Linked DNA regions of Arabidopsis thaliana. The protein of the gene in region 2 binds, or shares a complex with, the protein of the main gene of each other region. Each region holds a gene or a part of one and is shown on either strand. Other genes may lie near its edges.

Region 1 (7,852 bases), on a different chromosome or scaffold from region 2:
GCTAGAATTAGAAAGAAGAAGCAAGTTCTTGAACAGTTTGATACAGAAGAAGAAGGCTAAAGAACAGCAAGATCAGAAAGATGAGTTCAATGTTCGTGTTAGGGCTTCAGATATGCCTTTGCCTCAACAGAACAGAGCCTTTAGTTTGTCGCGTGAGATTTTGAATGCTACTCCAGGGAAGGCTGATAACAAAAGACTCGCTCATGCCCTAAAAAAGGTTAGATCTTTTGTATCTCTCTCATGATTTTTCTGTATTTGGGTTGAATTGGAGTCATTGAAGTCTAGTACTTGGATTGAGTTTTGAATTTTGACACAGAATCTAAAAGTATTGAGCTGCTTTTGGGTTCTAGGGCTACGTCTCAAAGTCGCATGCTTTTTGTAGAATGTGGTTATGGTCTTCTCTTTCTTGATTGGTTTGAAGATGTGATGAATCTTGAATTTGGATTTTCGTTTGTGTACTTGCATATTGTTGAACTTCATGGATGGTCCCATATTTGTTAGGTTGCATTTGACTTTGTTCCATTGTTGTTGTCTTTTCTATTTGTAGCTTCGGTTAGTCTACTTGACTAGGTTGTTTTTGTATTGCGAGGATAACTGTAGTAGGAGTCTCGTTGTGAAATGTCTTGAAACTGGATGTTCTTGTTGTTTATTGAGATGATTTTGGAGCTGTCTTAGGCCATAACTAATGAGGCATAGCATGCACCATCTGCTAAGCTTCTGTATCTTTGCTGTTAGAAATTAGTTGCTACCTAATGATAACTCTGAAGCATGCTTGCTTTAGGAAGTGAGCCTTGCCTGAATACAACCTTTTACAAAGGACTTGGTTCGACACCCCATATATAGAGTTGTCCATTTATGCAGTTGTTTCTCGTGAGGATATTGTTCCTTCTTAAAGCGGCTTTGATAATTAGCTTTTGATTTTAACTTATGGAGCGAAATGGAGCAGTTCCCTCAATTTATGCGACTAGGTAGAGGCATTGATTGATCCATACATTGATTTTATGAAGTGGTTGAGTAAAACAATTTAGTGTTCACTTATCTGTGTGCAGCTTACTTGTTTGTCTCAGTGTTCATCAATCTCTTAATAATGGCTACCTCCCTTTGGCTTTTAGGATTGACATACGAGTCAATTTCTGCTGTTGTCTTGTTTTATCTTCTTGTTCTGGTAATATAGATCTCTTATCTCGAAATAGATCTTCATATGTTTCTTGTCTCTATGTTTTCTCCTAAATCCAGCTTCTATGTTATCCACTGAAGTGAATCTTAGACTCCCATCTGTCTAATGACATGTTGCAGCTGATTTAAAACTATATATTCACGAAACAGTTTTCCATCTGTCTTCCATTTCAGGACTTCGATTCAGCCTACGGCCCGGCATGGCACTGCATTGTTGGAACAAGCTTTGGTTCATACGTGACTCATTCCACAGGAGGATTCCTATATTTTCAGATCGACAAAGTTTACGTTCTTCTCTTCAAGACTGCCGTGGAGCCGTTAGATCAAAAATGAGATAAAACGTTGATGATCAGAGCATCTTCAATTTAATCCTTTTCTTTTAGAATTCTCTGTCTTGTATCCCACAATGTAATTCTGCCTAAGACAAAATCTTTGTGGCTCCTATTGTGTAATTAGAAGTCATCTTCTCTACTGTGAATCGTTTCAACTTCACAATGCAAAATATTGTTCTTCTCTTTCTCAAATTCTAATTTTGTTTTTTTCGTTGTTGTGTTGTTGTTGTTGTTGACATTTTCTTCTCTTCAAAAGAGCTTTAAACCCAAAACCTCTAATACCAATTTTGCTCCTCCGTTTTATAAGCATCAAAGAAAAAAAGAATCAGTGAAGAAGAAAAAAAAATGGATCAATCGCAGCGAACAGTCGCTGCAACGCCATCGTCTTCTCGATCGTACCAATTCCACCCAGCTCGTGCTGCAATTATCGATCTTTTCAATCTCTACTTAGGGGTTGGTTAATCTCTTCTCCAATCTCCCAATTTTTTTCATCGAATTTTGTTTCTCTGCTGATTTTGCTTTCTCTATCACAGAGAGGAAGCCGTCAAAAGCCTGATGAGTCCCTCCGAGATCCCCCGTATGTTGTTTCTATTGATTCTGAATCAACTCTTGTTTTCTCTTCCTTCTGTGTTTGATTTTATCCATGTTGATTGTTTTGATCAGGAACAAATCACAGAAGCGTGTTCATGCTCCTAATAGAGACTTACCACCAAGAAACGAGCAATTCCTTTTGGATTTTGAGCTGCTTCAGAGCCAATTCAATGTAAAGTCTCGTTTTTTAACTATCTTTATCTTTCTCTTTGTGATTTCGTAAGATAAAGTTTTTTTTTTTTTTCCAACTCTTTGTTAGGATCCAGAGCAATTGAGGACGATTACTGAGTCAGTTTTGATATCTCTGGTGGTGCAATGTAGCAATCATGCGCCTCGTGCTGAGTTTCTACTCTTTGCTTTGCGTACATTGTGTAGGATTAGTTATATCAATTGGGATACTTTTTTACCATCCCTTCTCTCTTCCGTTTCCGCTGCTGAGGCGTCGTTAAGCCAAGGTGTTCAAGCAGCAGCGGCAACGGCTGGTTCTTCTGCTACTTCTTCGCAGTCTGTAGTTCCTGTGTCTGTGAATCCAACGTCATTGCTGCCTTCAGCTCATGGTATTGGTTCTCCATCAGCTTCAGAGGTGAAATCTGTGGAGAATGGGCAGCAGATTGCAAGAGCTGGCCAGATTGTAAGAGAGAATGCTATGAGAAATAGTCAACGGATTAGAGCTGCTGCTGTAAACAGTCTGCGTCAGCTCAGTTGCAAGATTATCTTGATTGGCGTTGAATCTAGTCTCAAACCCGTTACTCATGCCGAGATTTTCCAGTACATGATGAATTGGCTTGTTAACTGGGACAGGAGAGATCTGGGAACTGAGGACTCTGTAGGAAAGTCGTGGAGATCTGAGAAGACTTTAGCTGAATGGTTGCGGAGTTGTTTGGATGTGATCTGGCTGTTGGTAGAAGAGGGTGAATCTCGAATTCCGTTTTATGAGTTATTGCGCAGTGGTCTACAGTTTATAGAGAACATACCTGATGATGAAGCCTTGTTCACTCTTATCATGGAGATACACCGGAGGCGAGATGCGATGGCCATGCATATGCTCATGTTGGACCAACATCTTCACTGTCCATCATTTGGTACCCATCGTATAGTCTCCCAAATAACTGCCAATGTTCCACCCGAAGCTGTGCCACACTTACGACATTCACCAATTACATATCCAAGTGTGCTTGGGGAACCTTTATATGGAGAGGTGATTCCTATGAAATTGTGGAGATTGGTTTCATAGCTTAGTTGGCTCTTGTTGATATTGTGTAATGTATACGCTTTTCATTAGGCAGACAATTTGTGAATTTCAATCCTCTCTTCTTCTTTTTCGACACCGGCAGGATCTGGCGATGTCTATTCCAAAAGGAAGCCTGGATTGGGAGAGAGCAGTGCGTTGCATTAGACATGCTATTCGCACTACACCGTCACCGGACTGGTGGAAGCGTGTTCTTGTTGTGGCCCCTTGTTATAGACCATCTACACAAGCAGGGCCTATCCCTGGTGCTGTATTCACTTCTGACATGATTTGTGAGGCAATCATTGACAGAATTGTTGAGCTTCTTAAGCTGACCAACTCAGGCAATGTTTGTCTTTCCCTATTTCTCATGTCTTTGATCTGTCACTTCCATTTAAATCTGTGGAAATTATTTTGAAATAGCAAGTGGTTTTGCTAGTCGTCACAATCTGTAAAGAACCTACATCCTTTACGTTTTATTCTAGTTCTATAATCGTTGATTCGTTAGGCTTAGATAGAAAAGATAAAAGTAAGAGTTGAGATACCATTATACTAGGATTGCTTTGGTATTGATTTGGTATCTGTTACTTTTCCCCCTCTCTATGCAGATGCAAATTGCTGGCAAGAGTGGCTGGTTTTCTCGGATATATTCTTCTTTCTAATCAAAAGTGGGTGTACTGATTTTGTTGATTTCATTGACAAGTTGGTTTTACGCCTTAACGGTGTTGATAACCATATTCTTCGGACGAATCATGTGACTTGGCTGCTTGCACAAATAATACGCGTGGAGCTTGTGATGACTGCTTTGAACTCAGATGCTAAAAAGGTCGTTACTCAATTACAATGATATGTTTGCAGCTGCAATGCAATTACTTGTACTTCTTTTTCGGCGAATTTAACATCCCAATTTGTGCTCTATTTGGGTTTTCTCTCAGGTGGAGACTACTAGGAAGATCTTATCATTTCACAGGGAAGACAGAAATTCTGATCCCAACAATCCTCAGAGTGTGTTGCTTGACTTCGTAAGCAGTTGTCAGAATCTACGGATTTGGTCACTAAGCACAACAACTAGGGCATACCTAAACAATGAACAGCTGTTGAAGGGAAAACAGATCGATGAGTGGTGGAGAAGCAAAGGTACATAAGGTTTCAATGGCAGGGCTTAGACTAGGAAGCAGAGAATCCCGATTATAAAAAGCATCCTCTCATTCTGTTTCTTGTTTGGGGTTGTCAGGAGAGCGGATGATGGATTATATGAATATGGATGATAGGTCGATTGGCATGTTTTGGGTTGTTTCCTACACCATGGCACAACCAGCATGTGAAACAGTTATAAATTGGCTATCTTCAGCTGGCATGGCTGAGTTACCGGGATTACAGCCAAACGACCGAGTAATGATGACGCAGGAAGTTACCCCGTTACCTATGTCATTGCTATCTGGCTTTTCAATGAATTTGTGCTTGAAATTGGCCCTTCAGATGGAAGAAGCTTTGTTTGTTAGCCAGGTTTGTTTCCTTTGTCTCACAAAGATATTATATATGTTAATTGATACACTGATCTATGAAGAACATCTTCTTTGGTCATTTTTACTTAGTGACCTATTTTCTCCACGGTTTAGTAAAACAACTTTAGCGTTTTACTTGTTTAAAAATGTTAATAGTAGATTTTAAAAAACCTGAGAAAAATGAATTTAGTGTCGTAGTAAAACATCTGAGTGCAGGTTGTTCCTAGCATTGCAATGGTTGAGACATACACAAGATTGCTTCTGATTTCCCCTCATTCGATGTTCCGTTCACATTTCAGTGTAAGCTATTTGGTTCCTTCTGTTACCTTTTGACTTTCATTATCTTATGTTTTATTGATCATAAGCGATTCATAAGATTAGCTAACTTTCTGTAGCAATTGGCCCAGCGAAATGCTTCTCTGCTAAGCAAGCCTGGAGTGACGTTACTTGTTCTTGAGATTCTGAACTATCGGTTGCTGCCACTCTACAGGTAAAACGAGCGAAAAGTTCTCAAGTTGGAGTAGATCCTTCTTTATGTTTTAACTGGGTCATTCTTTTAGTTAGATGACAATTGTTTCGGGCTTTCGCCATATTGGCTGTTAGACCCGACTAAACAAAATTACTGATCTTATTGCAGATACCAAGGAAAGAGTAAAACTTTAATGTATGATGTTACTAAAATAATATCTGCATTGAAAGGAAAACGTGGTGACCACCGTATATTCAGACTAGCTGAAAACTTATGCATGAATCTCATTTTATCACTCAGAGACTTTTTCTCTGTGAAACGGGAGGGAAAAGTAAGTGGTGTTTTCGAATTACTCACTGTCCCCCTTCTTATTTTGTGCCTGGATCTCAGGTGTAAATAATTGTTCTTATGTTATCATCACTAGGGGCCAACTGAATTCACTGAGACGTTAAATCGCATAACCATCATGACTCTTGCTATCACTATCAAAACACGTGGTATCGCAGACCCTGATCACATGGTTTATCTGCAAACCATGTTGGAACAAATACTCGCGACGAGTCAGCATACATGGTCAGAGAAGACGATGCGGCATTTCCCATCCCTTCTCCGTGAAACTTTGAAAGGACGGGTAGACAAGAGGGGCCTATCAATTCAGGCATGGCAACAGGCTGAAACAACTGTGATAAACCAGTGCACTCAACTTCTCTCACCATCTGCTGAACCCGCTTACGTTTCAACATACCTCAGTCACAGTTTTCCTCAACACCGTCAGTATCTATGTGCTGGTGCTTGTCTGCTGATGCAAGGCCACGCTGAAAACATCAACAGCACAAATCTGGTTTGCTTTGCTTAGTCTATTCATAATTGTGAAATGATTGTTTGTTGATAGTGGTATGATTTTCTCTTCCAAATGATTATCAGGCACGAGTTCTGAGAGAAGTTTCTCCTGAAGAAGTCACTGCTAACATATACACTTTGGTCGATGTTTTGCTTCACCACGTTCATGTAGACCTTCAGCAAGGACAATCTCTAGAGGTTTCTGTCTGCCAGAAGAGATTAACCTCACTTTTCGTTGCTTGATCCATCTTCTTACATTGCATCGTAATATTTTTTAGGCAGTTCTAGACAAGGCAGGCGCAAATCTTGCATTTTTCTTCTGGACACATGAAATGCTTCCTCTCGACATTTTTCTTTTGGCGCTCATTGACCGTGATGATGATCCTCACGCCTTGATAATTGCAGTATGTTCATGCTTTTACGTAAAAGAAGCTTAACATCATAGAAATTTTACAGTGTTGTTTTCAATTTATTTACAGATGAGCCTACTTAAAACGCCAGACCTTCTGCTGAGGATAAAAAACTACTGCCAAAACCGTGGGTCTCCTGAGCACTGGCTTGTCACACAGGTGTTCAAACGCAATGAACTCCAGAAGGCCCTGGGTAACCATCTTTCTTGGAAGGACAGGTAATATATCCAATTCAACATCAGTGTAACTGATTTCTAACAACAATTTCACTTAAGTACATGGCTTTGATTGTTTGATTGGTTTTGTTGGCATCCAACCATAAATGTGTGATGGAACCTTCCATGAAAACTTGTGTATGACTAGGAAATAGTTGAATTTTGGTTTGATCTGTTTTAATTTTGGTGTTGGATTCTGCTAAAGTTGGGTAAATGTTTTACCTATTTTTTTATTGTGTTAAACGCAGGTATCCAACGTTCTTTGATGATATTGCAGCGCGTTTGCTTCCAGTTATCCCTCTAGTGCTTTACAGGCTCATCGAGAACAATGCGATGGAGCAAGCTGATAATCTTTTGCTTGCACACTCGCATTTTCTAGCGTATCATCCTCTCAGATTCACGTTTGTCCGTGATATACTAGCCTATTTCTATGGCCATCTTCCTGGGAAACTTGTTCTGCGCATGCTCAAAGTACTTGATCTCAGCAAGGTAATTGAAAACAATTCCCGATCTTACATTGATTCTGAAATTGACCTCAAGTTGATGCCGCTTTTGGATTTTAGTTTAGAGATTTTGTTTCTCACCAATTTATCTAGATACCTTTGTCCGTAATCGTTTCCACATTCGATTAAAATGGAACGTAACAAATCTTTTGACATTTCCGCAGATTCCATTCTCTGAATCATTCCCGCAGTACATTAGCCCTACCGGTGCACCTGTATGCCCACCTCTAGATTACTTTGCCTCTCTTCTGCTTAATCTCGTAAACAATGTTATACCTCCACTTAGCAGCAGCAGCAACTGCAGCTCGAGGTCTGGCTCAATGGCAGACATCTTAAACAGCTCAGCAAGACCTCCTCATGGAAAAACTCCAGGAACATCTCAGCCTGGACCAGCAAACGCCTCTGAGGGCCAGAAAGCATTCTATCAGATCCAGGACCCAGGAACTTACACGCAACTGGTTCTTGAGACAGCCGTGATCGAGATCCTCTCGCTTCCTGTCTCTGCTGCTCAGATTGTCTCTTCGCTTGTCCAGATAATTGTCAACATACAATCGACTCTGATTCAATCTGGAAACGGGTTCCA
Region 2 (4,640 bases):
AAAAGTTGGACCAGAAAAGATATGAACTCCACCACGAAGAAAAGCAATCGCAATTTCACCACCATGAGCAGAATAGACAATCCGTGCAAGTGTCCGAATATCACTTGGCAAATCAAAAGGATCAAATACAACCTTGTTAGCCTTCTCATCACCAGAATCAGGCTCCTTTGGTGCATCCACACTTGGTCCTGCTGCAGCTACTTGATGATTCTTAAAATCTTTAGTAGGTGGTATGCTCATATCCACTCTGGATACCCAGACAGTTTGCGTGGGGACCTGTCCTCCAAAATTTGAAGTTGGGTTTCCAAATATCTGATGCAGTACAACAGGTTGAACACTTGATTCCCAGCGCTGTACTCTCCAGCCTGTGATTGAAGGACCTTCATCTGGATCATACGGAGACATGTACTGCCCTGCAGACACAAACAATTAGCATTTATTTTAAACAATAGATTGAAGCTGTTGCGCTTCATCACTCAAACAAAATTAGCATTTTCTCATCTGGCAGCTCTTCAATATATGAGCATTTCTAAATGATTGACCAAAAACTAAACGTAAACCTGAAAATGTTTATTCAATCATGGAAACAGTATGAGGTTCCGAGAAGGATGAGAACAGTACCTTCAACTATAACAACTGCTATCACTGAACCACCACGAGTTGGATCAAAAGCAACAGCGGTAACACCAGATCCCCATGTTGTGGTTGCTGCAGACTGAGCTGCAGCCTCTGGACTTACATAAGCAGAAAAATTGGAAACCGGTGAGCAACTTAGCGATATAGCATCACTGGAATCTTGATCTGAGGGCTTCTTCCCTTGCTTTATCTCGGATATTAAGTATTCTTGCCAGCTAAACAAGTACGCAGCTAAAGGAGCAAAACCTGTCCAAGAAGAAGAACTAAGGGATGGTGGCACACGACTGCCTGTAGAGATTTTTGGAGTCGCCTGGAGTCCATTTCCAGGGCCAGGGGTCACCTCCCATACTACAATTGTTGAAGGGTTTACAATTGGAACTCCTGCTACATGCATGGCACCACTGTCTGTTATAATAGCATCAGCAGCCATAATTCCACTTGGCCCTGCACCTAAAAGACCTTTCTTTGTACTAAACCACTTTGGTGCAGTGCTTCCCTGGTTAGAAGGCCACTGGGACCAATGAATTTGAACAGAGCCGGATGAGAAAACAGAGCATACACAGAGAAAGTTGGGCCACCGAGCTGCAACAAATGGTAGAGAATCAGAACCGTCACATAAAGTGGAGGAAAATGCACTAACGTCAGAACATGTTGTATTGATCTTGTCACATATATTTGGATGTCAAAGGAACTGACATAATTAAAATTAAGTGCATAATTCTGAATATATCATCAAAAAATGAGTCACAAGAGGCACGCAGAAGAAAACCTGAGCTTTCAGAGCTCTGCGAGAGAAATTTCTCCTCGAAAGTTGACTTTGCATTTGTACCAGAACTTGGCTTGGAGGACAACCACCTATACTGATTATCAATAAAAAGAAAACATAGAGGATAAATTTCCTAGGATAAAACTAGAGCAGCAAACTAGGTGGCCAGAAACAACATGATATTAAGTCCTTCAGAACATGTTCTTTGCAATGGCATTATTATCTATCTGTTACTCATTTCCTTATGTGTTCATGCCGATCATTAAAGAAATGCATCTAAGAAACGCAAATTGGAAGATCTTTTAGGAGTCTAGTAATTTTGCAAACAGAGAGTTGGGATTTCCAGGACGTTGTGTTTTCTCCATCTCATTTCCTCCAAAACGTAGAGACATTTCCAGTTCAATTACTCACGATTTAGTAATCCCAGTGCCCACTCTCACATGCAAGCCCTCCATTACTAATTTAACGAACTCATTAAGGGACAAATATGCTGTGCATTTGATAGAATGGCAAATAAGCAAAACATAAGATTACATACTGGGGAAGCCCCTGTCAGCCACTTTGTAACAACAGCAATGTCCTGACGCCATTCATGCTCACACTGCCAGGAGGTAGCGTCGTGCACTAAATTAGCCGAACCCTGCAAAACCAATCCACAAAAAAAAAATCATCTGAGGGTGTCATAAAACATCTTGACACAGAAGACAAAGAAGAAATATAAAGGTAAATCCCAGTGATCAGGAGCACAAACCTGAGTAGGCTGCGTCCAGATAGTTATACGTCCATGAAAATTAGCAATGAGTAACGCACGAGGACAAGAAGTGGGAGACCATTCGATAAATTGGACAGAATCACGAGGAGAGTCTACATATAAAAAATTGCATCATAATCGTTTATCACCCACTAGATCAACCGAGTTCATAAATAATTAACTGATATCAAAATACCTGCCACAACATTAAACACCGCACACTCAGTAGGGCGCTCAGGTATCAAGATATGTATTGGTATCCAAAAAGGTGTATTTGCCTTGGAGCTGCAAGAGATGAGAACAGAGAAAGATGAAAATTGAGAAATTCATCACTGCCCATACATTCAAGACATAGAAAAGTAACAAAAACCATACCTTGGAATCCTGGCACAGGTCTCGGAAGCACAAGCAATAGCATTCAATTTGCCACACCACGCAACAGCACTAACACAAAGAAAAGGAGAAAACTTTACAGGAATTGATGAAATTTAAAGATTTTCCGATGGGAGAGAGAGTCAAACCTGAAGTTACGGCACAATTCAGGAACACTCATCTTATGAAGCAAATTGGAATTGGGCTGCTTAAGCTTAACACAGAAAACTGTAGCCGGACTCACAGGATCAATCTCCATGTTACTACTACTACTATTATCGTCTTCTTTCTCTCCGTCTACTGATTTCTCTAACAATTTCTCCTCAACGACGACGAGAATCGGATCGGTAGACTCAATAGTCTCTTCCTGCTTCTGCTGTAATCCTTCTTCCTCTTTCTCCTCCACTATAGCTGGAGCTTCGATGATTCCTCCACCACCGCTATTATTAACCAAAGAAACTTCTTCTTCTGGGTTTTGCTGATTCATGTCAACGAAAGCAAACAAAACCCTAAATTTATAGAAAAATCGGAGAAAAGAGGGCAAGTGTGACAAAAAGTCGCGATTGAAGGCGACAGAAAGCACTGTGCGTTGAGAGAGAGAGAAAGTGTCAAAGTGAGAAACTGTTAAGTGGGGTTAACGAGACGACTTAGTGCGGGGAAAATTCCAAAATCCCCACAAAATCAAAATCGAACAAAAAATGCAATTTTGATTTTAGGGTTTGGTGGAGTCACAGTCTCGTCGCCGGGATGCAGAAAAAAAATCTCGGTGAAAGTGATGCAAAAACGCCGTCGTGTCTGGTCACTTTCTCTCTAAATTTTTTTCCCCTCTTTTTGTAATTTTTTACTTTTTCTTTTAAGAGCAAAAAATGAAGAAGTAAATTTTAAATGATAGTTTTGAATCTTTTGATTAAGGAAAATGATCATAATTTCATTTTTTCTTCTAATTTACCATCTTCAAATTCAAATTTGTAAACATGGAAAGGTACTAACTTAATTTGACATTTGGCATTTGAGGATCCTTGTTTGACATTAGTTTTTTTTTTTTTTTGCTAAATTTGTTAATATCATTACAATGAGAGTTCAGAAAATACAAGAACGTACAACCTATAGAAAAGTAACCAAGGCAAAAAAAATAAAAACAAGGCTACAATAGAATTAGAAAAGATTTAGGTGTGTTTAACGAATCCATAAAAGCATTAGCCGCTGCCAACGCTTGCGATGTCGTCGAGAAGTGATTAGGTTGCGAAGCTCACGATCCACCAATTTGAAGATGATAAGAGGTGCCACGCGAGTAGAGTTGTGCAAAATATTAGGCTTAGGCATTAGTTCATTTGCCTCCTCCCAAATCAAAAGTTAGGCTTAGGCATAAGTGTTTCCCATGGTTGTTGTATCTCCCTCAATGTAGCACGACCAAGAATGAGAATCACTTATTGCTTACACCAAATTCTTTGAGTTACATGCATAGCGTACTGAAAACTAGTTGTTTCGGCTTCTAACTAGATACAAGCAGAGCCATCCATGAGCACAAACGGGTCAAGCTCATGCTTGCGGCTTCAATTAATATAAAGGGAATTTAATGAAAAAAAACCTCAACTTTGGCCAGATCCATTTTTAAACCCTAAACTATGTTTTTAGTAAAACAAACCCTGAACTAAAACCTGTTAATAAACTTAACCCTAAACGTTGTTTAATTACTGTGGGGTTAAGTTTATTAACAGGTTTTAGTTCAGGGTTTGTTTTACTAAAAACATAGTTTAGGGTTTAAAAATGGATCTGGCCAAAGTTGAGGGTTTTTTTCATTAAATTCCCTAATATAAATAAAACTTTTGCCTCATTTTCTTATAACTTTCAGTAGAAAAGTTGGTTATTTGCTTATAAGATTACATTAGAGAGTCAAAAGTTTGAGTTCATCTTCATCTTCATTTGCCTTTTTATTTATTTTTTCATTTTCACTCATTAAACTAGAACCAAAAAAAAATTCCTTCTTTCAATCTATTAAATACTAGGGATGGATATGTCTTTGCACCATACCCTTTTAACCACCTTCTCATATCTAAGAATGCACCAAATTTCAAACTTATTCATTCCATGTTTACAACATTACTTATAAGTTTA
Region 3 (7,715 bases), on a different chromosome or scaffold from region 2:
TCTCGTTTCGAAAACTTAAAACTATGTTTCACTGGACTGAAATATTGAGCAGTTGATACGCACCAACTCTTTCAAACATTGGCGGCTAAAGATATTGCAGAAAACATCAACATATTACACATTTACACATAGACAACCTCTGTCATAAGAAAAGTTTCTCTTTTGACTTATAGGACATGTACACTTGACAAGTTAGGTGAGTTTGATTGTTTCTTAGGTAATGATACTGAAATTTACATTTGTTAAATATGTATAAAACCTTCAACCGGTTTTGTGTTTTGTTTGATGAATATTATGTGATGATTATTCTAAAATCCCCTATAATAAAAAAGTTATAAAAAAAAAAAAATTTTTAGTCTGATTATATTTATATCATAGTTCATTAACAAAACAGTTAAAATAATTGAATTAAGAAAGGACACAAATGTATTTCAAAATTAATTGAAAATCGTCTTTATTTGCTTTTATTTTTAAAATCAGATTATTAAGGATTTTATTCCTTAACTATCTACATATACATTTTTGCAGTCATTTTAGCAAATAAATCTTAGAGTTGGACTTATTTACAACCCAATGCCATTAACATTAAATATTTTCCAAAATAATTAATTTTACTTTAAATTTTTAATTTAAATTGTCAATCACATTATCAATCAAATTTAATCCAAACAAACTTCACATCAATCCCTTAAAATTAGCATAAACGTATTTTATTAACTATATTTTAAAACAATGTTTTTTGTTTAAATAAATATTATTCTTACTAAACGTTTTTTGTTTAAATAAACAAATCATGTATTTGAACTTATTTACAATGTCATACTACTGACATTAATTATTTAGGCATGAAAATATTTATTTAAGGATTTAAATCTTCTAAATTCTTGCTTTTAGAGTTATTATATCATTACCTAAAAGGCAAAAAATATTAATTTTTTAAATATTATTATTTGTATATTTAAACTTCATAAAACATTATCAATATTTGAATTTATAAAAAGTTTAATTTATCAAAAAAATTAACATCATTATATAATATATAGAGTTTTAAAAAATCTCAAAAAAAAATTCGTCATATTTTGTGATTCGAAATTTTAAGAATGAACATATATTAACCAATTGGCGAAAAATGTGTGGGTTCAATGTCACGCAACGACTAAAATATTTTGACAATGATTCATAAACATATTATAAATAAGATCAACATTAATAAAATAAATAGTTTTTTTTTTGGACGGGTTTGGCAGGACATGTTTGGTAGGACGGATTTGGCAGGACGTTACTTAGTAACAATGGTAAACTATAAAATAATTTACAAATTTTATATATATTAATTTTTAAAAATGAATTGTCTCCGCGGTGTATCGCGGGTTAAAATCTAGTAAGGTTTATTTTTCCAACCTATAAAATTATTAATAAAAAATGCTGTTTTGTTAAAAAAAACGTAAACAACATATGTGACTTAATGTACTTTTATTATATCTAATTTTATTATCACTTTATAATCACTTTTCTAAAACGTTTTCTAAAATGAAACGAAAAATATATAATTTATTTAAAATTGAAAAATAGTGGTCATATTATCTAGTTAACAAATTTCTAATACATTTTGCACCAATGCTACCATATTTGAACTGGGAAAACTATACAATTATACATGTGGTAATTAATACTAGATTTTTTTGTTTATTTTGAAAAAAAAAAAAACTTGTTATAAGCGAACTGGTAGGCTCGATTATGATTTACGACGCGAACAAGTTTCCTCTGTCTCTTTACCTAGAAGATCCTATATTCTTCATTCGTTTTTCGATCAAGCTAAACCCTAAATCCAGCTCCAATTTCCCCTTTTTCTCCTCTGTTTTCCTAATATCAAGCCCTAATCGTTGTACCAACCTTGACTCCGTCAAACGCCAAATCTCCTTGATTGGCTCTGAATTTGAGGTGAAATGTTCGAATCTCGTTTTTTTTTCTGTTGTTCTTAAGCCTTGCTTTTTAGAGTTTTCTCTTTTGATCGGGATTCCAAAGAAGATAAAGTATCTCCCTTTGTAGTTGGGTCTGGTTTATTACAATTACGAGAATAGATGAACTTTGTTGATGTAATAAAGTTTGCTTATTTTGAGTTCCTGGATTCTCGTTCCGGTGGGATTGGCTATTTGATGTTTTGAGTTTATTGCTTTTTGCTACCAACATTAGAAAGAATGAACATTTTGGCTGATCAATAAGAAATTCTGAGTGTTAATCTAATCCATGTTGTGTGGTCATTTGTTTCCTGTTGATTTGGGATAATCAGTTGTTATATTGTCATGTTTTGGTTTCTCTGTATACTTACTATTGATACTTTGCTCTTCATGGCTTGTAAACACAGAAAACTTGATGGATAATAACAATTGGAGGCCTTCTCTTCCAAACGGAGAGCCTGCCATGGATACAGGTGACTGGAGAACGCAATTGCCACCTGATTCTCGTCAGAAGATCGTCAACAAGATGTAAGTCACTCTAGCGGCGTTGTTTTGTCTATGCCAGTCAAATACTACAGAAATAGAAGGTTATTATGTTCCTTGACCAATAGTTAGTTTGTTTGTTTTACTTATTTGCTTGCCACTTGCGCAGAATGGAAACACTAAAGAAGCACCTTCCATTTTCCGGACCAGAGGGAATTAACGAGCTCAGGAGAATTGCAGCTAGATTCGAGGAGAAAATTTTCAGCGGTGCTCTTAACCAGGTTATTATGAACATATATTCTTGTTTCGTTAGTATGGTAAATATAGAGATTTGTGAGGCAATGGACTCCACAACATGGAAAAGAACTGACTTTCGGTATCTGTAAAGCTAAGCCACAATATGTTGGGTATGAAATCCATGTATACCTTCCTGATACTCTTTTATATCGCCTTTCAGACTGATTACCTTCGGAAAATATCAATGAAGATGCTGACAATGGAGACTAAATCACAAAATGCAGCTGGTTCTTCCGCAGCTATCCCTGCCGCTAATAATGGCACATCCATAGATTCGAGTAATCACGATTCTCAAGCATGAATTGCTTAAGTCTGTTTATCTGGTTTTATGGCTAATTGTTCCTCTTATTTGATGCTGTTTAACCTTTCCTTGAATAGTACCCACCAATCAAGGCCAACTTCTTCCAGGATCGTTATCAACCAATCAATCTCAAGCACCTCAGCCGTTGCTGTCCCAAACCATGCAGAATAATACTGCCTCTGGAATGACGGGTTCTACTGCTTTACCATCTTCCATGCCACCTGTTTCTTCCATAACCAATAATAACACCACAAGCGTTGTGAACCAGAATGCCAATATGCAAAATGTAGCTGGAATGTTGCAAGATTCATCTGGGCAGCATGGCCTTTCCTCGAACATGTTTTCAGGACCCCAAAGGCAGATGCTGGGTAGGCCACATGCTATGTCTTCACAGCAACAACAGCAGCCATATCTTTACCAGCAGCAGCTACAGCAGCAACTTCTCAAGCAGAACTTCCAGTCAGGGAATGTTCCCAATCCCAATTCGCTTTTGCCATCACACATTCAACAACAGCAGCAAAATGTGCTGCAGCCTAATCAACTGCATTCATCTCAACAACCTGGTGTTCCAACATCTGCGACTCAGCCCTCCACTGTGAACTCAGCTCCTCTCCAAGGTCTCCACACCAATCAGCAATCAAGTCCGCAATTGTCTTCTCAGCAGACGACACAATCTATGCTTCGTCAGCATCAATCGTCGATGCTAAGGCAACATCCGCAATCACAACAAGCCTCTGGTATCCATCAGCAGCAATCTTCATTGCCGCAACAATCAATTTCTCCTCTACAGCAGCAGCCTACACAATTAATGCGGCAACAAGCTGCAAATAGCTCAGGCATCCAACAGAAGCAGATGATGGGGCAGCATGTTGTTGGGGATATGCAGCAGCAACATCAGCAAAGGTTACTGAACCAACAAAATAATGTTATGAACATACAACAGCAGCAGTCGCAGCAGCAACCACTGCAGCAGCCACAGCAACAGCAGAAACAGCAGCCACCGGCCCAGCAGCAGTTGATGTCTCAACAAAACAGCCTCCAGGCAACGCATCAGAACCCACTGGGCACTCAAAGCAATGTTGCAGGATTGCAGCAACCACAACAACAGATGCTCAATTCCCAGGTTGGCAATTCGAGTTTGCAGAATAACCAGCACTCGGTGCACATGTTATCACAACCAACGGTTGGGCTGCAACGAACACATCAGGCTGGCCATGGCTTGTATTCTTCTCAGGGACAACAGTCACAAAATCAGCCATCACAACAGCAGATGATGCCACAGCTTCAATCGCATCATCAGCAGCTGGGTTTGCAACAACAACCTAATCTGCTACAACAGGATGTGCAACAAAGGCTACAAGCTTCAGGCCAAGTCACTGGTTCCCTGCTTCCACCTCAAAATGTTGTGGACCAACAGAGACAACTATATCAATCCCAAAGAACCCTTCCGGAGATGCCATCATGTATGCTTTTGATCCTTTTAATACTTTAGGTTCTGATATTTTCCATAATCTCTCAGCAGGATATGATGCTGAACATATTTTCGTTTTTATAATTCTTAGCATCGCTGGATTCGACAGCACAGACGGAAAGTGCAAATGGAGGTGATTGGCAAGAGGAGGTTTACCAAAAGGTAGTTCTCTCTTTTTGTGTTTGCTATATATCTTTACCAATTATGGCTACACTTATTAAATCTTCAAGTGATAGATATCATTGTAATGAGTAATCATATGACCATATTGCTTGTCTTTGTAGATCAAATCTATGAAAGAGACTTACTTACCAGATCTGAATGAAATCTACCAGAGAGTTGCAGCAAAGTTGCAGCAAGTAAGTTACAATTTTCTTTTCTTTTTTATACTAGGAGAATCGTTTGTACGTCTATGTCCTCTGGAACAGTAGTGAGTACCTTCTGAGAAGCTTTATGAATTCAATGCAAGTTCGGTTCGTTATTGCATAAGAACGTCATCAACTTTGGAGTCTTGTTACCCATTTAACAAAGAAAAAGAAAAAGAATCTTGAGACTCGTATTCTTACAGTTTACTAGAAAATCAACCTGCTGATATTTATGTTCCTTCCCAAACCTACAGAAGTTGTAGCTTGCATCTATGTATTTGTTTCTTTTTTATTTAGTAAGTTATTTTTGTATCTGGAGCAGGATTCTATGCCACAGCAACAAAGATCAGATCAGCTTGAGAAACTGAGACAATTCAAAACAATGTTGGAGCGAATGATACAATTTCTATCTGTTTCAAAGAGCAACATCATGCCCGCATTAAAAGATAAGGTGGCTTATTATGAGAAGCAGATTATAGGTTTCTTAAATATGCACAGGCCGAGGAAGCCAGTACAGCAAGGGCAGCTTCCGCAATCTCAGATGCAGCCTATGCAGCAACCACAATCTCAGACAGTTCAAGATCAATCCCATGATAACCAAACAAATCCGCAGATGCAATCAATGAGCATGCAGGGTGCTGGGCCAAGGGCACAACAGAGTAGTATGACAAATATGCAGAGCAATGTTCTATCATCTCGTCCTGGAGTTTCAGCTCCACAGCAGAACATTCCCAGTTCCATACCGGCTTCTAGTTTAGAATCAGGCCAAGGAAATACCTTGAACAATGGACAGCAGGTTGCCATGGGATCTATGCAACAAAATACTTCTCAACTAGTAAATAACAGTTCTGCCTCTGCTCAAAGTGGGTTGAGCACACTGCAGTCGAATGTGAATCAACCCCAGTTAAGTTCCAGTTTGCTTCAGCATCAGCACCTCAAGCAACAGCAAGATCAACAAATGCAGCTCAAACAGCAATTTCAACAGCGCCAGATGCAACAGCAACAGTTGCAAGCAAGACAGCAACAGCAACAGCAACAGTTGCAAGCAAGACAGCAAGCGGCACAATTACAGCAGATGAATGATATGAATGATTTAACATCGAGGCAGGGGATGAATGTCAGTCGTGGGATGTTTCAGCAACATTCTATGCAGGGTCAGCGTGCGAATTATCCTCTTCAACAGTTAAAACCAGGAGCTGTTTCGTCGCCTCAACTTCTGCAAGGTGCATCTCCTCAGATGTCACAACATTTGTCTCCTCAGGTTGACCAGAAAAATACTGTCAACAAGATGGGAACTCCATTGCAACCTGCAAATTCCCCTTTTGTTGTCCCATCTCCTTCTTCAACCCCCTTGGCTCCGTCCCCTATGCAAGTTGACTCTGAGAAACCTGGTTCTTCTTCGTTGTCAATGGGAAATATTGCACGCCAACAAGCAACCGGCATGCAAGGTGTAGTTCAGTCCCTAGCAATTGGCACTCCAGGGATCTCTGCCTCTCCTCTCCTTCAGGAGTTTACTAGTCCTGATGGGAATATTTTAAATTCTTCGACAATTACATCTGGAAAACCGAGTGCTACTGAGCTGCCTATTGAACGCCTTATTAGAGCCGTAAGTAAATTTCCAATTTTTAAGGGTATATCGCAGCAGGACGGTGATATTGCTGCAAACCCGTTTTGTAATATAATCATTGTTCTGCTTATGATGTATGCTTTGCTTTCAGGTGAAGTCCATCTCACCACAAGCCCTTTCTTCTGCAGTAAGTGACATCGGATCTGTTGTAAGCATGGTTGATCGGATAGCTGGTTCAGCACCAGGAAACGGTTCAAGAGCTTCCGTTGGTGAAGACTTGGTTGCAATGACTAAGTGCCGTCTCCAAGCAAGAAACTTCATGACCCAAGAGGGAATGATGGCGACTAAGAAAATGAAGCGTCACACAACCGCAATGCCACTAAGCGTTGCTTCACTGGGAGGAAGTGTTGGTGATAACTACAAGCAGTTTGCTGGTTCAGAAACATCCGATCTAGAATCTACTGCGACTTCGGATGGCAAGAAGGCAAGAACTGAGGTATGATACTCAGTTAGACTTCCCCTAGCTATATTTGAATATTGACACACACTCACACACACACACACACACGTAACAAAGAAAATTTGGAAGCACAAGGTTTCGATATTCTTTTTTTTTTGAAGACTCAATCTTGAACTGCAGACCGAGCATGCCCTTTTGGAGGAAATAAAGGAAATAAACCAGCGGCTGATAGATACAGTTGTTGAGATAAGTGATGATGAAGATGCTGCTGATCCTAGTGAGGTTGCAATATCAAGCATAGGGTGTGAAGGAACAACAGTTAGATTCTCGTTTATAGCTGTTTCTCTCAGCCCAGCCTTGAAGGCTCATCTCTCATCAACACAAATGGTAAACATGGTCATCTCGTTAACATTAACGTTTTGTGAAACAAAATATTTCATTTATCCTTTTTTATAATATATGCTTTGTGCTTCTATTACAGTCTCCTATTCAACCATTGCGTCTGCTGGTTCCTTGTAGCTACCCCAATGGCTCTCCATCTCTTCTAGATAAACTCCCGGTCGAAACCAGGTACAAGCAAATCCTTCAGTCTCAAGTAAATAGAACCATAGATTTTCCGTACCGAGTCGAGCAAACTTCTACGATACAGTTAAAATCTTCACAAGAATCATCTACTAGAAACCCTTTATTAGAAACTGCGTTATCTTCTTACCGTAACACGGTCTGGTTTCTTGAACAGCAAAGAAAACGAGGACCTGTCGTCCAAAGCTATGGCAAGGTTCAACATATTGCTAAGAAGTTTGTCACAGCCGA
Region 4 (3,484 bases), on a different chromosome or scaffold from region 2:
ATGTCCCAGATCTGAGCTTTGATGTTCTTATCGTCAATAACGAGCGTTCGAGTATTGAAATCGACACCGAATTGTGGCTTTGGAATCCATACTGAATTCGTCTCTTGTGAACCGAGCTCGTAGCTGTGACTTCCCAACCGCTGAATCTCCGTTCAAAACAACCTTGAATACGTAGTCAACCTCTTCTTCAGCCATCTTCTTCTTCGCTCGCAGTCGGCGATCGAACGACGTCGATTTTCTCGCTGTTTTTACACTCTCCGGTGGACTGAGAGATTAAACTAATCGTAGGGTTAAAATGTAATCCTCTACGGTAGAGAGTACTAGAGTGTATGGTAGTCAAAGTCGTCATACGTGGATTTGATTAATGATTGCTACACGTGTATCGCATTGATAGGTTCTCTTGCTCGGATCACTAATACATAAACTTGGATACAACCCAAAGCTTGACCTATTTTTGTTGAACACCTTTTTGTTTTTATATTTTTCATCCTCTGAAACAAGTCCATAGACTCTTGTATTAATATATCCTGATGATATTTGGTTTTACATTTGCATCTTGTATCATTGTAAACAATTCATAAGCCTTCCCACAAAAGCATGCTTGGCATTTGACAATTGGCAATTCATAAATGATGCATTATAAGCATAAATATCAACTTGGATATTCAACTTGGCCCGTGTATTATGCTACCTCTACAAATTTGGTGAGGTAGGTTAAAATGAGGCCGGTTTGAGTTACCGGTATATTAGACGAGCATTAACATGATTACACACTTGAGGATATTATTGACGAATGAAGAAACTAAAATGGTTTAGTTAATGCAAAATTGAGGATTCATTCGTCTATTGAAATAGAGAAGAATTGTTTGAGGCTAAAATAAATATATTTACATTTTTCCTATTCTCCTCCAAACTTTTCGTAAACATGGTTATTTGACTTATTTTTGAACTTTTTATCTAATAATTTAAAGGATTGTGGTGATGTAGTGGCCACTTAATCTACACAACATCGCAATAATTTTGACAAAATTTTCTACATATTTCTTGTCAACAATTATAAGGAATTAACACATTCTACTTAGTAGACATTTACAGTAATCACAACCAAGATGAAATAACCATATATAAATATCATTTGCTATGTTCATAAACTTTATCGAAACTAGTTGACTTCTTAAAATGCCAACTAATTAGGTTAGGGTTCATGAACTTTTTAGCAAAGATAGCACAAACTAAATTCTATCTTCAACCTAACTAATGACGGTTTACTCCGGTTAACCGGTGGTTATGTTCTCATCATGCGGCCAACTAAGCTAATGGGCTATTTGGTGATCACTAATCAATGACCGAGATGCACTAGAGTTTTTATTATGATCGAGTTCCCAAAAAAGGGGCAACAAGAAAAAACGAAATGGCCTATACAGGGATCGAACCTGTGACCTTCGCGTTATTAGCACGACGCTCTAACCAACTGAGCTAATAGGCCATCTTGCTTTATCTACAGCTAACTACTATATAACAACTACACAAGTGATTCTAGTAACTAGCTAAAATTCTCCGGTGTTAAAAAATCTCAGATTCGCTCCCGAGGACGATTTAGGAAGCTTTCGTTAGTTTTTCCAATTTCGGATTTGGTCTTGTTGAGAATATATTTACGATTTTAATTGAGAGATTTTGTGATAGCTCAATGTCAATGGAGTGTGTGGTTCAAGGAATCATCGAGACACAGGTTCGTTTGTATTTTTTGATTGACGAACAAATCCCAAGTTTTTCGAGTTCATGGATCAGCTTTTAGCTTTCTTATGATGTCCAATTGATAAACCCTAGGCTTGAATTTTTATTAGAATTTGATTAGATTTTCTACTGGATTTTGCAGCATGTTGAAGCTCTTGAGATTCTTCTTCAAGGTCTTTGTGGTGTTCAACGCGAACGTTTAAGAGTTCATGAGTTATGCTTAAGAAGCGGCCCAAATCTTGGTAAAGCCAATTCCTTTTGTTAAATTCAGAAACTTGAAGCTTCCTATGAATCATACATGATTCACATTTGTGAAATCTTCACTTTTTCAGGAGTTGTGTCATCAGAAGTTAGGCTATTATGTGATCTTGATCAACCCGAACCCACATGGTACAGCTTCTTCTTGTTGTTGTTGTTGTTGTATATGTTCTTGTTTCATTCAAAGGAAGCTAATTTAAGAACCATAGGACGGTTAAACATGTTGGTGGTGCGATGAGAGGTGCAGGAGCTGATCAAATCTCTGTTTTGGTTAGAAATATGATTGAAAGTAAAGTAAGCAAGAATGCTTTGCGTATGTTCTATGCACTCGGTTACAAACTAGACCATGAGCTTCTCAAAGTCGGATTCGCCTTTCATTTCCAACGGACTGCGCACATAAGTGTTTCTGTATCTTCTGTTAATAAGATGCCTAAAGTTCATGCTATAGATGAGGCTGTTCCTGTAACACCTGGTATGCAGATTGTTGATGTAACTGCTCCTGCAACTTCTGAGAATTACAGTGAAGTCGCTGCTGCTGTTTCATCTTTCTGTGAATTTCTTGCTCCGTAAGTTCATCTGATATATTTTACAGCACCTGTGATAGTGTCTTTGATATAAGCTTCATCAGTGATATGATTCCTTGTGTTTTCAGGCTTGTTCACTTGTCGAAACCGTCTATCTCCACGGGGGTTGTGCCAACCGCTGCTGCGGCGGCTGCATCTCTTATGTCGGATGGAGGAGGTACTACATTGTAAGAAGTTTGAAGTTAAAAACAACTGTTCTTGTGTTCTCTCTTGTTAGATCTTTTGGTCCAATCTAGTCAATTTTCCAGATTACACAATGGTTGTGAAATCTTGTGAACCATTAGAGTTAAGTATTATTTAATGAGAATCAGTAAGGGATCTTTAATAAATATTCTTTATAAATCACAACTTGCATATGATCTTTGCTCTTCTCTCAACCTTTTGGTATTATGATGTTTCATTGTTGTCACTTGTCAGTAGATTGATAGTTTATGAAGCTTCGAACATGATTAAAATAATGTGAATGTCTTTGTGGAATTACATACTATTTTATTTATCATTCAATCACTAATAAATTCCAATTTGAAAGCCTATTAAAACCTAACATATTAAAAATTTGAACCACAAAAAAATGAATTCTAAAATTCTTCCATTTCCACAACAATAATCATCTTCCTCCACTTGCTTCTTCTTTTTTCAAGAGCCATTCTAAATATCACAAGCCAGAGTAGAAAAATGTATATGTATAGAGAGATTCATAATTTCAATGTCAAAATTTTCGTGTTTCTAATCATCTACTGGTGCTATTAGCAGTCTTGTTCTTGCTCATATCAGCAAGCTCTTCAATAAGTTTTTTCTCCTCTTTGCTCAATCTCTTAGGTATCTCCACTTGTACTCTCACCAACTGATCTCCTCTCATATTACTCTTGTTCAATACCGGAACTCCTTTTTTCGCCATCACAAGCGTC

Evidence for each region.
Region 1: SFR6 (region 2) and AT1G23230 share a complex: the UniProt entries of both Arabidopsis thaliana proteins name them as parts of the mediator complex.
Region 3: SFR6 (region 2) and NRB4 share a complex: the UniProt entries of both Arabidopsis thaliana proteins name them as parts of the mediator complex.
Region 4: SFR6 (region 2) and AT2G22370 share a complex: the UniProt entries of both Arabidopsis thaliana proteins name them as parts of the mediator complex.

The regions. Positions count from the first base shown.
Region 1 is NC_003070.9:8,242,628-8,250,479, forward strand, and holds the start of AT1G23230 (mediator of RNA polymerase II transcription subunit), read left to right. Parts: upstream 1-1,812; 5' UTR 1,813-1,853; coding exon 1,854-1,961; intron 1,962-2,041; coding exon 2,042-2,085; intron 2,086-2,171; coding exon 2,172-2,271; intron 2,272-2,358; coding exon 2,359-3,297; intron 3,298-3,433; coding exon 3,434-3,676; intron 3,677-3,883; coding exon 3,884-4,153; intron 4,154-4,262; coding exon 4,263-4,464; intron 4,465-4,561; coding exon 4,562-4,833; intron 4,834-5,048; coding exon 5,049-5,132; intron 5,133-5,227; coding exon 5,228-5,322; intron 5,323-5,469; coding exon 5,470-5,632; intron 5,633-5,725; coding exon 5,726-6,142; intron 6,143-6,225; coding exon 6,226-6,339; intron 6,340-6,419; coding exon 6,420-6,545; intron 6,546-6,620; coding exon 6,621-6,769; intron 6,770-7,014; coding exon 7,015-7,255; intron 7,256-7,433; coding exon 7,434-7,852. Other genes in the region: AT1G23220 (Dynein light chain type 1 family protein), read left to right, coding at 1-217, 1,351-1,509. UniProt on the Arabidopsis thaliana protein: Component of the Mediator complex, a coactivator involved in the regulated transcription of nearly all RNA polymerase II-dependent genes.
Region 2 is NC_003075.7:2,496,303-2,500,942, reverse strand, and holds the start of SFR6 (sensitive to freezing 6), read right to left. Parts: upstream 3,013-4,640; coding exon 2,675-3,012; intron 2,598-2,674; coding exon 2,529-2,597; intron 2,439-2,528; coding exon 2,350-2,438; intron 2,267-2,349; coding exon 2,154-2,266; intron 2,043-2,153; coding exon 1,941-2,042; intron 1,497-1,940; coding exon 1,406-1,496; intron 1,219-1,405; coding exon 622-1,218; intron 414-621; coding exon 1-413. UniProt on the Arabidopsis thaliana protein: Component of the Mediator complex, a coactivator involved in the regulated transcription of nearly all RNA polymerase II-dependent genes.
Region 3 is NC_003070.9:5,430,580-5,438,294, reverse strand, and holds the start of NRB4 (mediator of RNA polymerase II transcription subunit 15a-like protein), read left to right. Parts: upstream 1-1,676; 5' UTR 1,677-1,941; intron 1,942-1,942; exon of another isoform or gene 1,943-2,081; coding exon of another isoform or gene 2,082-2,139; intron 2,140-2,365; coding exon of another isoform or gene 2,366-2,373; coding exon 2,374-2,486; intron 2,487-2,610; coding exon 2,611-2,722; intron 2,723-2,898; coding exon 2,899-3,016; intron 3,017-3,116; coding exon 3,117-4,502; intron 4,503-4,601; coding exon 4,602-4,672; intron 4,673-4,794; coding exon 4,795-4,869; intron 4,870-5,197; coding exon 5,198-6,481; intron 6,482-6,593; coding exon 6,594-6,938; intron 6,939-7,082; coding exon 7,083-7,289; intron 7,290-7,383; coding exon 7,384-7,715. UniProt on the Arabidopsis thaliana protein: Component of the Mediator complex, a coactivator involved in the regulated transcription of nearly all RNA polymerase II-dependent genes.
Region 4 is NC_003071.7:9,500,282-9,503,765, reverse strand, and holds AT2G22370 (mediator of RNA polymerase II transcription subunit), read left to right. Parts: upstream 1-1,555; 5' UTR 1,556-1,687; coding exon 1,688-1,729; intron 1,730-1,876; coding exon 1,877-1,976; intron 1,977-2,066; coding exon 2,067-2,124; intron 2,125-2,201; coding exon 2,202-2,558; intron 2,559-2,644; coding exon 2,645-2,747; 3' UTR 2,748-2,982; downstream 2,983-3,484. Other genes in the region: AT2G22360 (DNAJ heat shock family protein), read right to left, coding at 3,307-3,484. UniProt on the Arabidopsis thaliana protein: Component of the Mediator complex, a coactivator involved in the regulated transcription of nearly all RNA polymerase II-dependent genes.